Linked DNA regions of Ovis aries. The protein of the gene in region 2 interacts with the protein of the main gene of each other region in a biochemical or structural test. Links are inferred from orthologs where the notes say so. Each region holds a gene or a part of one and is shown on either strand. Other genes may lie near its edges.

Evidence for each region.
Region 1: the proteins of CRK (region 2) and DOCK1 form a complex in vitro, tested with the Homo sapiens proteins (3 studies listed by BioGRID and IntAct, with this or other methods). The link is inferred for Ovis aries from reciprocal best matches to the Homo sapiens genes CRK and DOCK1.

Annotation. Positions count from the first base shown.
Region 1 is NC_056075.1:45,934,483-45,938,294, reverse strand, and holds part of DOCK1 (dedicator of cytokinesis protein 1), read right to left. Parts: intron 439-3,812; coding exon 303-438; intron 1-302. UniProt on the Homo sapiens protein: Involved in cytoskeletal rearrangements required for phagocytosis of apoptotic cells and cell motility. Along with DOCK1, mediates CRK/CRKL regulation of epithelial and endothelial cell spreading and migration on type IV collagen.
Region 2 is NC_056064.1:22,477,669-22,482,149, forward strand, and holds the start of CRK (adapter molecule crk), read right to left. Parts: upstream 2,974-4,481; 5' UTR 2,819-2,973; coding exon 2,578-2,818; intron 1-2,577. UniProt on the Homo sapiens protein: Involved in cell branching and adhesion mediated by BCAR1-CRK-RAPGEF1 signaling and activation of RAP1.

The DNA.
Region 1 (3,812 bases), on a different chromosome or scaffold from region 2:
CTATCAAAGAGGAAATGCAGGATGGAGTACTGTTGCCCATGAGTTAAGACCACAAAGTCAATGTCATTAAAATCCTGTCCCCCCTCAAGGGATGAAAAGCCTTCAGGTCATCCACAGCATGTCTAGACGCTGGGCCCCATTCCATCCATCACTGTCCGAAATACATGCCGCAGCTGAGCCTTTTCACGGTGCAGCTAATGCAGTCCTGGGGTCTCACTGGTGATGTTTCACTAATGTTGTAAATTGTTACTGAGGAAATGTACCCTGGGTGTGAACGGCGTATTACAGAGAACTGAACTTACTTTTTCTTCTTGCAATCTTTCCTCCACTTGTTTGGAAGCTACTTCATGAGCTCTGAAAAGACTGATTGTGCTAGTTAGTTCTGGATCCAGAATGTTCCCATCTTCATCTCTCACCACCAAGTCCAAATCGAGGATTCTAGAACAAGAAGAATTCAAAACTTCACCCACAAACTTCAGTCATCCATTCATTCAGCAAAAGAAACTGAGCAAGATGAAATCAAAAGTCAGAGTCACTCTCACAGTATCAGAAAACATAGTTCTGTGAGGTCGCTGTCATTTGAACTTTCTTTGTATGCCCTTGGAATTGAGAAAAAAAAAAAAATCTTACTTCCATTGCTCTTGTGACTTTTACTCACAGATCTAGAAAGCCCAAATGAAAGGTATGTCGCTAACTACTACATGATCAGTACGGTCAGTTAAGTGCACACACGCTATGCACATACTGGGTGTGTGTGTGCATATAAATTTGTGGGTATGTATACACGGCCCCATGCACACCCATATGCCCAACTATATACACAGCTGGAGGTCGGGGAGAGGTGGGAGGGAGGAAACGCTGGAACCGAGGCATACTCACCACTCTCTCTGGTAGGTTCCATGGCACTACTTTCCTTCTACCTAGAATCGCAGTTCTAATCCCTTAATTAGCCTATCAGAAGATTTTCAATAAAGACGTTCTACTGTTTCAACATGGAACATATGGAAGTCATCCACAGCAATGTTAAGAATCTTCCTGGCCAGATGGCTAAATGTAGTAGCCAACTTAAAACACAGGCAGCATCTGGCTAATAAATCTGTCCATCCTATATCTGGAAATGTTTTTTGGCAACAGTCTCTCCGTTTCCTGTTAGGTGGTTTTTACCAGGATTTTATTTAAAGAATAAACAAAGGCGACTATATAAAGTAAGAAACGAAGAGGTTTACTACCAGCGGTGTGTTCTGGTTAGCTTTCAATAAGACACGAGGATCTTAACCACAGATGCCTGTTACTTTGCCTTTGGGACTTTTCTTTTTATTAAAAGTGTGTTGTTGTTCAGTTGCTAAGTCATGTCTGACTCTTTGTGACCACATGGACTACAGTGCACCAGGCTTCCCTGTCCTTCACTATCTCCCAGAGTTTGCTCAAACTCGTGTCCATTGAGTTGGTGATGCCATCCAACCACCTCATCCTCTGTTGCTCCCTTCCCCTCCTGCCCTCAATCTTTCCCAGCATCAGGGTCTTTTCCAACGAGTCAGCTGTTCACATCAGGTGGTCTTCAGCATCAGTCCTTCCAGTAAACATTTAGGGTTGAGTTCCTTTAGGATAGACTGGTTTGATCTCCTTGCTGTCCAGGGGACTCAGAGCCTTCTCCAGAGCCACAGTTCAAAGGCATCAACTCTTCAGTGTGCAGTCTTCTTTATGGTCCAACTCTCAGTAGCAAATTTTTTTTTTTAACCATAAGACAAAAGAAAACATCTTTTGAAATTAAGATAAATTCAATTAGAGAATGTCTTTTAACAGTTACAAGTCTAAGAGTTGACAAACGGACGTTGCAAAAAAGCCTCCACTTAGACGAACTCATCTCCTACCTCTCTTCTGTGAAGGCCACACGCCTTAAAGCTCTGTGTGGATGAGTCTGGTAACACGTCAAGCAGGTTTAGTTTTGTGAGTTGTGCTGGACCACTGCACTGTATTTACGTACGGTGGATTTGAGTTCCTTGGACAAAAGTCTGTCTTGTTAAGGACTGCATTTCCTACCCAAGTAATAAATCACGTTTGGAAATACTTCCTTTCCTAACGAGATTATTCCATGACATAATGTATTTTGGTAGCTTCCCACAGCCAAATCAAGCAGGTGGTTTCTGGACGTAAGTTCAAAACATGATACTCCAACAGAAAATAAAATCAAAGCTCCAGGAGTTTAGTTTTCAAGCAGGTGGTCTTGAAATGAGTTTCACTGCAACAACATCTAATATCCTATACCCAGCAGCCTCTAGGTTTCTGCGGGGGCGAAGGGAGACCTTCTCCTGTAGTTAATCCAAACAATACATCTTACTAATAATGTAGCTTTTAGAAACTTTTCACACTTGAAAGTTTGAATTACCAGAAAGCAGAATTGTTATAATTCTGATTATACAAAATGCCTTCTTTAGTTTTTCCAGGGCTTCCTTGGGTTGAATGGCTCAGGGCAAAGCTGTCCTATTTTCTGAGCTTTATACTCTAACATGTAAAATGAGGGGGTTGGACTGAACCACTAGCTTCCCAATGTGCCAGCCATCATGGTCCAAGTCTATTTTTACAGACAGGGATTTCCAGTAAGCATTCCAGACGTGACAAATCAAGATCTTAAGGAGTGGATCCCAGTATTCTGTATTCTGAAACTTTTCCAAGTGACTGATATAGACCAGCATCTGGGAACCTTGTGACCACATACTTTTTAAGGCTTCTTGCAGCTCTGGCATTATACGAACAAATAGCTATCCAGTAGGAAAGGGTGTAGCCTCCTTCTGGTTACGGAACCTGGAAGGCCTGAGATGGCTGTGCTGCAGGAAAGAGTGCCAACACCAGAGCATGCACCGCGATGGGTGGGCGAGCGCACCACAGCTCACAGCATTGAAGCAGAGCTGGGTGGTGCCCTGCTGTAAGAGGGAGCTTTTGCATGAGACCTGCTCCTGTAGAACAATTATATGATCTTTATATCAGAAGTACAAATTTAGGGGGCTGGATTTTTTTTCCCCAGAAGCTCTCACAAAAGCCCTAATCCAAAGCACTGGTGCAGAAAACCTTACACACAGAAAAATCACCTTCCCGATAAAACGTGCTTGGCTGTTCAGACAGCAGTGATGCTCTCAGAGTGACATGGTAAGATGCCAGTGACCTGGACACAGCACAAACGTGTGTGCCACCTCAAACGGGAGGCTCCTTATAAACTCAGCTTGCATCTCCTCCAAGGTCTTCTTTTGGAGTTCTACCTGATCTTACCACCAGTTTTCATTCGAATCCACTGGGGAGTGAGACCACTCTGCTTCTGTGTCTTAGCCAGGCATCACCCGATCCTGAAAGTCTTGTGAGAAGACAGGGCGAGGAGCAAGTTCAACCAGACACAGGATAACAGAGAAAAGAAAAAGAGACTTGCTGGCTTTATTTCTATTTGCCGGATCCCTACACTGGTGACAAGTTTTCAGGTGCCCTTTGAGGTCTCTTCCCACTTTCAGGATGTGGGATTCCACAGAAAGAGACCTGATGCCTATTACTGCACAAAGTACCCTCACATCTGGACTCAGGGTCGAATGCTGTCAGCAGAAAGGAAAAGGCCCTGTCGGGGGAATTGCTGTGATGGGGACAGGTTACCCCATCTTCTTGAAGAGAGTATGTTTTAACAATGACTCAGAAAACTCTGGATCCAATAGAAAACACCTCATGCTTTTAAGAAAGAAAACTGTGCCATTATACTGATGTTAGAAATTTTGTTTGTCGTAAGATAGGATGTTAGTCTCCTAAAGGCTTACGGTGATGCCATTATATCAGTT
Region 2 (4,481 bases):
TTCCTTTGGTCTTTATCTAGGCCATGCCACGCGGCATGCAGGATCTCAGTTCCCCAACCAGGGATCAAATCCATGCCCCCTACAGTGGAAGCGTGGAAGTCCCTCCTTTCAGTCTATAAACAGAACCTGGGGCCCAGAACAGACGCAAGTGTTGAGGCTTCAAAGTGCACTACTGGGATCTCAAAAGTAAACTGGCTTTGACAGAAAGCAGTGCAGTATAACAGTGTCAGCTCTCAGGCCACAATTCCTAGGTGCAATTCTGGCTCAGTTGCTTACAAGCTGCGTGACTTTGCGGCACTTTACGGTATCTCTGACTCTGTTTCCTCATCTATAAAACGGAAATAGTTTAATAAGTGGAGGTCATAGTACTTTCCTCACTGGACTGTTATAGACAGTAAATGAGACAAGGCATATAATGTACTCAGCAAAGTGCCTGGCACAGAATAACCAGTCAATAAATGGCAGCTATTAATACTGTATATGCCTCTCTAAAATTCAAGAAATTCTTCTGTGTGGCTTCAAAAGAAAAGAGCTTCATGGGGGGAGGGGGAGAACAAAGATTAAGTAATCTTTACAAAGATAGCAACTGAATCAACTGTCCTATGCAGAAAATAGGGTACACGGCAGAAACAAAAAGGACCACAATGCCCATGAACTTTCCACACCCCAGCCACAAACTCTGGCAATCCTCACCTTCTCTCTGGGGCCAAAGATCTGAATTCATATCTGTTAACGAAAAGGTGGAGCTCAACATTAAGGTAACAGCTGAGATTAAAGTTATTAACACCAAGACGTGGGGAAAGCTCAAACAAAGCTGTGTGTTAGGTCGCATCCAACTCTTTTGCAACCCCATGGACTGTAGTCCGCCAGGCTCCTCAGTCCATGGGATTCTCCAGGCAAGAATACTGGACTGGTTTGCCATTTCCTTCTCCCAGGGATCTTCCCCACCCAGGGACTGAACCTGGGTTCTCCTGCACTGCAGGCAGATTCTTTACCATCTGAGCCACCAGCAAAGCCCCTGCTGCTATTTCCAAATTTTTCAACCAACAAAACACACAGAAGGTTGGGAACTTGAGTTTCAGTGACTGTCTGCCATCATGTCACTGCACAGTAATGCAAAAACCCAGACATCATGAAGGTGGTAAAAAGTAGAAAATGTTTGGTTTAGAGTAAACACATTCCCACCTCATGTTATAATGCTATTAAACCAACCAGGCTGAGAAAGACCTAGAATAATTTGTAAGCTTTATGATCCCTACGCTTTTTTAATTGGTATGTGTTAACAAGAGATTATCCCATTTCATTTCTGGTCAGAGAGAATAACCCTAAATTAGGACTCTCCTAAAAGAGCAAGTCTGCAAAGGCTGGTTCCGGAGTCTCTTAATTCAGGTGAGATTGGCCTGAATCTAGTCTCACGTGGTCAGGATTAAACTGCTTCCACCTGGAACAGCGAGGTGGCACTAAGACTCTCCGTACTGTTACACAGATAACTGTAACCTCAGAATTACTCTGTATACCACAAATCTCAAGTACCAAGTGCACAAATCCCCTTAACAACTCCAGTGGCCTGGGTGACTGTCATATCTCAACCTTTAGCAAGGAAGATCCAGTGCAGATCATTTAAACTTTCAAGAGAGTCACTTCAGTGGGATCTGTTTTCAACATCTAGAAGACTCAAGCCACAGCCCTCAACTTACTGAACAAGGAGAGGCCCTGGAGGACAAACAAGACTGATAACGTTCGAGTCCAGGGAAAAATGAACTTCCATTCACTTTCAGGGAAGGGACTGTTTCCACTGGCTTATTTCTGAATTATTTCCTGAAATATAAAAATAAAAATCTTTCCTCCACTGATTGCTTTGAAAACTATAACCCCCCTCATTGTGGAGAACAGTCTCTGGAAGCTCAGCTCTCTTGGACACAGTCAGCCGGACATCAGCTTATTCAGGGTTGGTCACAGAGGCTTTTCTTCTATAACCAAGGCACTTAGCTCACCACCTTCATCCTCCGCGGGGGAAGAGGAAGGTAAAAGTATTTTGGAAAAATGCCCAAGAAAGGAAAAAGCTGACCGGTTTCCTGAGGGTGTCTCCATCCCTCTCGGCCAGTATGTGGTGACTTCCTACCAAAGGCCACCAGGGGAGTATGGCCAAACCCGGCTTTCCAACACTGCAGGAAATGTTTCAAGCCTAAAAAGCCACTTGTAGGATTATCGGATTCATTCCCGGCACCGCTGCCAAGTGATGCCCCGCAGTGCCAACATCCTTCTCAGCTCTTTGTCCCCACGTTGCCCGGCTGTGCTCGGGCGCTAGCCCCACCCTGGGGCCGAGGCAGTTCCCCTTCCCCTGGGCTGTCCTCCCAAGTCACACCCAGAGGCCTGGGTCAGCGGCTCCTCCTCCCCCACACACTCGCGCTGGTCCGTGGGAGCGAGCCCCGGCAGAAGCTGCGCCCCGGCCACGCTCACTCCAGCCCTCTGCCCACGTCCCTCGTGGGGGTCAGCTCTCGAGGCGCAGCCAGCCAGGCTGGGGAGTTCCGCGGCCCTCACCCCCGCCCCGGGCCTCCCGTCCCGTCCGTCCCTCACCGGGCGGAGGCTGGGCGGGCGACGGTGGCACCGGCGGGCGCGGGCCGCTGCTGTTGATGATGTAGTGGGAGACGCGCGAGTTCTCGGAGACGCTGAGCACATAGTCCCCGGGGCTAGTGCTCGAGTCCCGCACCAGGAACACCCCGTGCCGCTGGCCCTGCAACAGCGCCACCGCCTCCTGCCGACTCAGCCGCCCCCAGTACCAGCTACTCCGCTCCTCCGAGTCGAAGTTGCCCGCCATGGCCACCTCCGTGCCTACACGCTGGGCCGCCGCCGCCGCCGCCGCGCGCGCCCCTCCAGCCCCGGCCCCCGCCGCCCAGCGGACCGGCTCGGGTCTCAGCCTCACAGCAGCGCCCGAAATGGCGGCGGCGGCCGCGGGCCTTCCCCACCGGAAATGACGTGCTCCTGGCCCCCGGGAGGATGCCGGGAAGGGAACCACCGCCCGCCATTGGGAGAAGGGCAAGTGACAGATCGTGAGCGCACTGCGCATGCGGCCTCTTGGGCGTCGCCGCCTGGCTGGGACTGGGACTGCAGAGGGTGAGGGGGAGTCCAGGACCGAGGGGCGGGGCTTCAGCTACCAGTAGGCTGTTGGCGACGCGGTTCTTTGCTCCTCCAGGTTTCAAGTTACTGGAAGGCCCAGGCTTCTAGGCAGCGACTAGGGTACAGAATTAGAGCAGAAAAGGTGATGTGGCCCCAGGGCCTGTGTTTCCTGAGATTGTCTTTTTCTGATGGTTCCTCCAGCTTCTCCCCACGCCTGCTGAAGTTCTTGTTTTCACTGATTCATTCAGCAAACAGTTGACACCACATTTGCCCCGAGGGTGCAAAGGTCATCAAGGGCGAGCCCTTCCCTCACCGAATTCGCAGACCAGTGGGAGAAACCAGGAAACAGTCTTTGAAGAAGGCGTGCCAAGTGATACGATGGGGAAGGGGCAAGGGGCTTTAGGAACACATAACAGAGCCCCCTAATCCATTCTGTAGGGGAATCCAGGAGGGCTTGCACTGAATATTGAATGGCAATCAGGGAAGAGCATTCAAGACAAAGGGGACAGAGTGTGCCAAGCCAGGTGGAAGTATGGAGTTCCCTCTGTTTAGGCTCTCAAGACACCTACCCAGACTCTCTAAACTCTAACTGTGGCCATGGGTAGCCTCGGCTCTCCCTGCTGTCAGGACCATTTATACCTTTACATCCCATATCTATTTTTGTATTCCTGTGACAGCCTGCTCACTGGTGTTCTATAGTCTTGCTGCCCTTAATTGTATAGCACACATCTGCCAGTTTGCACTTTCTCAATTATAGCTCTGAGTCAGCTGCTATTCTGTATAAAACTTTTAACAACCTCCAGGTGTTAGAACTCCCCATTTACCTCACAGCATACAACCAAGCCACCGTCTCATCTTCACCACCTCTACATGAACCTTGTGTTTCTTCTCTCTGGAATGCCCCTCCACTCCTTTTGGGATCTCAGTGACAAAAGTCTCCCCTTTCCTGACCATCACATCACTCCCTCTCTGTATGTACAGCCCTATTTCCTTATTATCTTTATTATGGTTCTTAACCACTGTACCGTAATCTTTCATTTACAAGTCTGTATGCCATGGTAGACCTCAAAGGCCAAGCATCTACTGTAGGAGGCACTCCATAATCATTTCGTAATAACAGCTAACATTTATTCAGGAAATAGTACCTGCCAGGCATAGTGCTAACTGCCCTTAGATGGATCATTTCATTTAATCCTATCAACAACCTTATGGATTGGTCCCATTTAACCAATGAAGCTGAAATGATGCTGAAGCTGAAACTCCAGTACTTTGGCCACCTCATGCGAAGAGTTGACTCACTGGAAAAGACTCTGATGCCGGGAGGGATTGGGGGCAGGAGAAAGGGACGACCGAGGATGAGATGG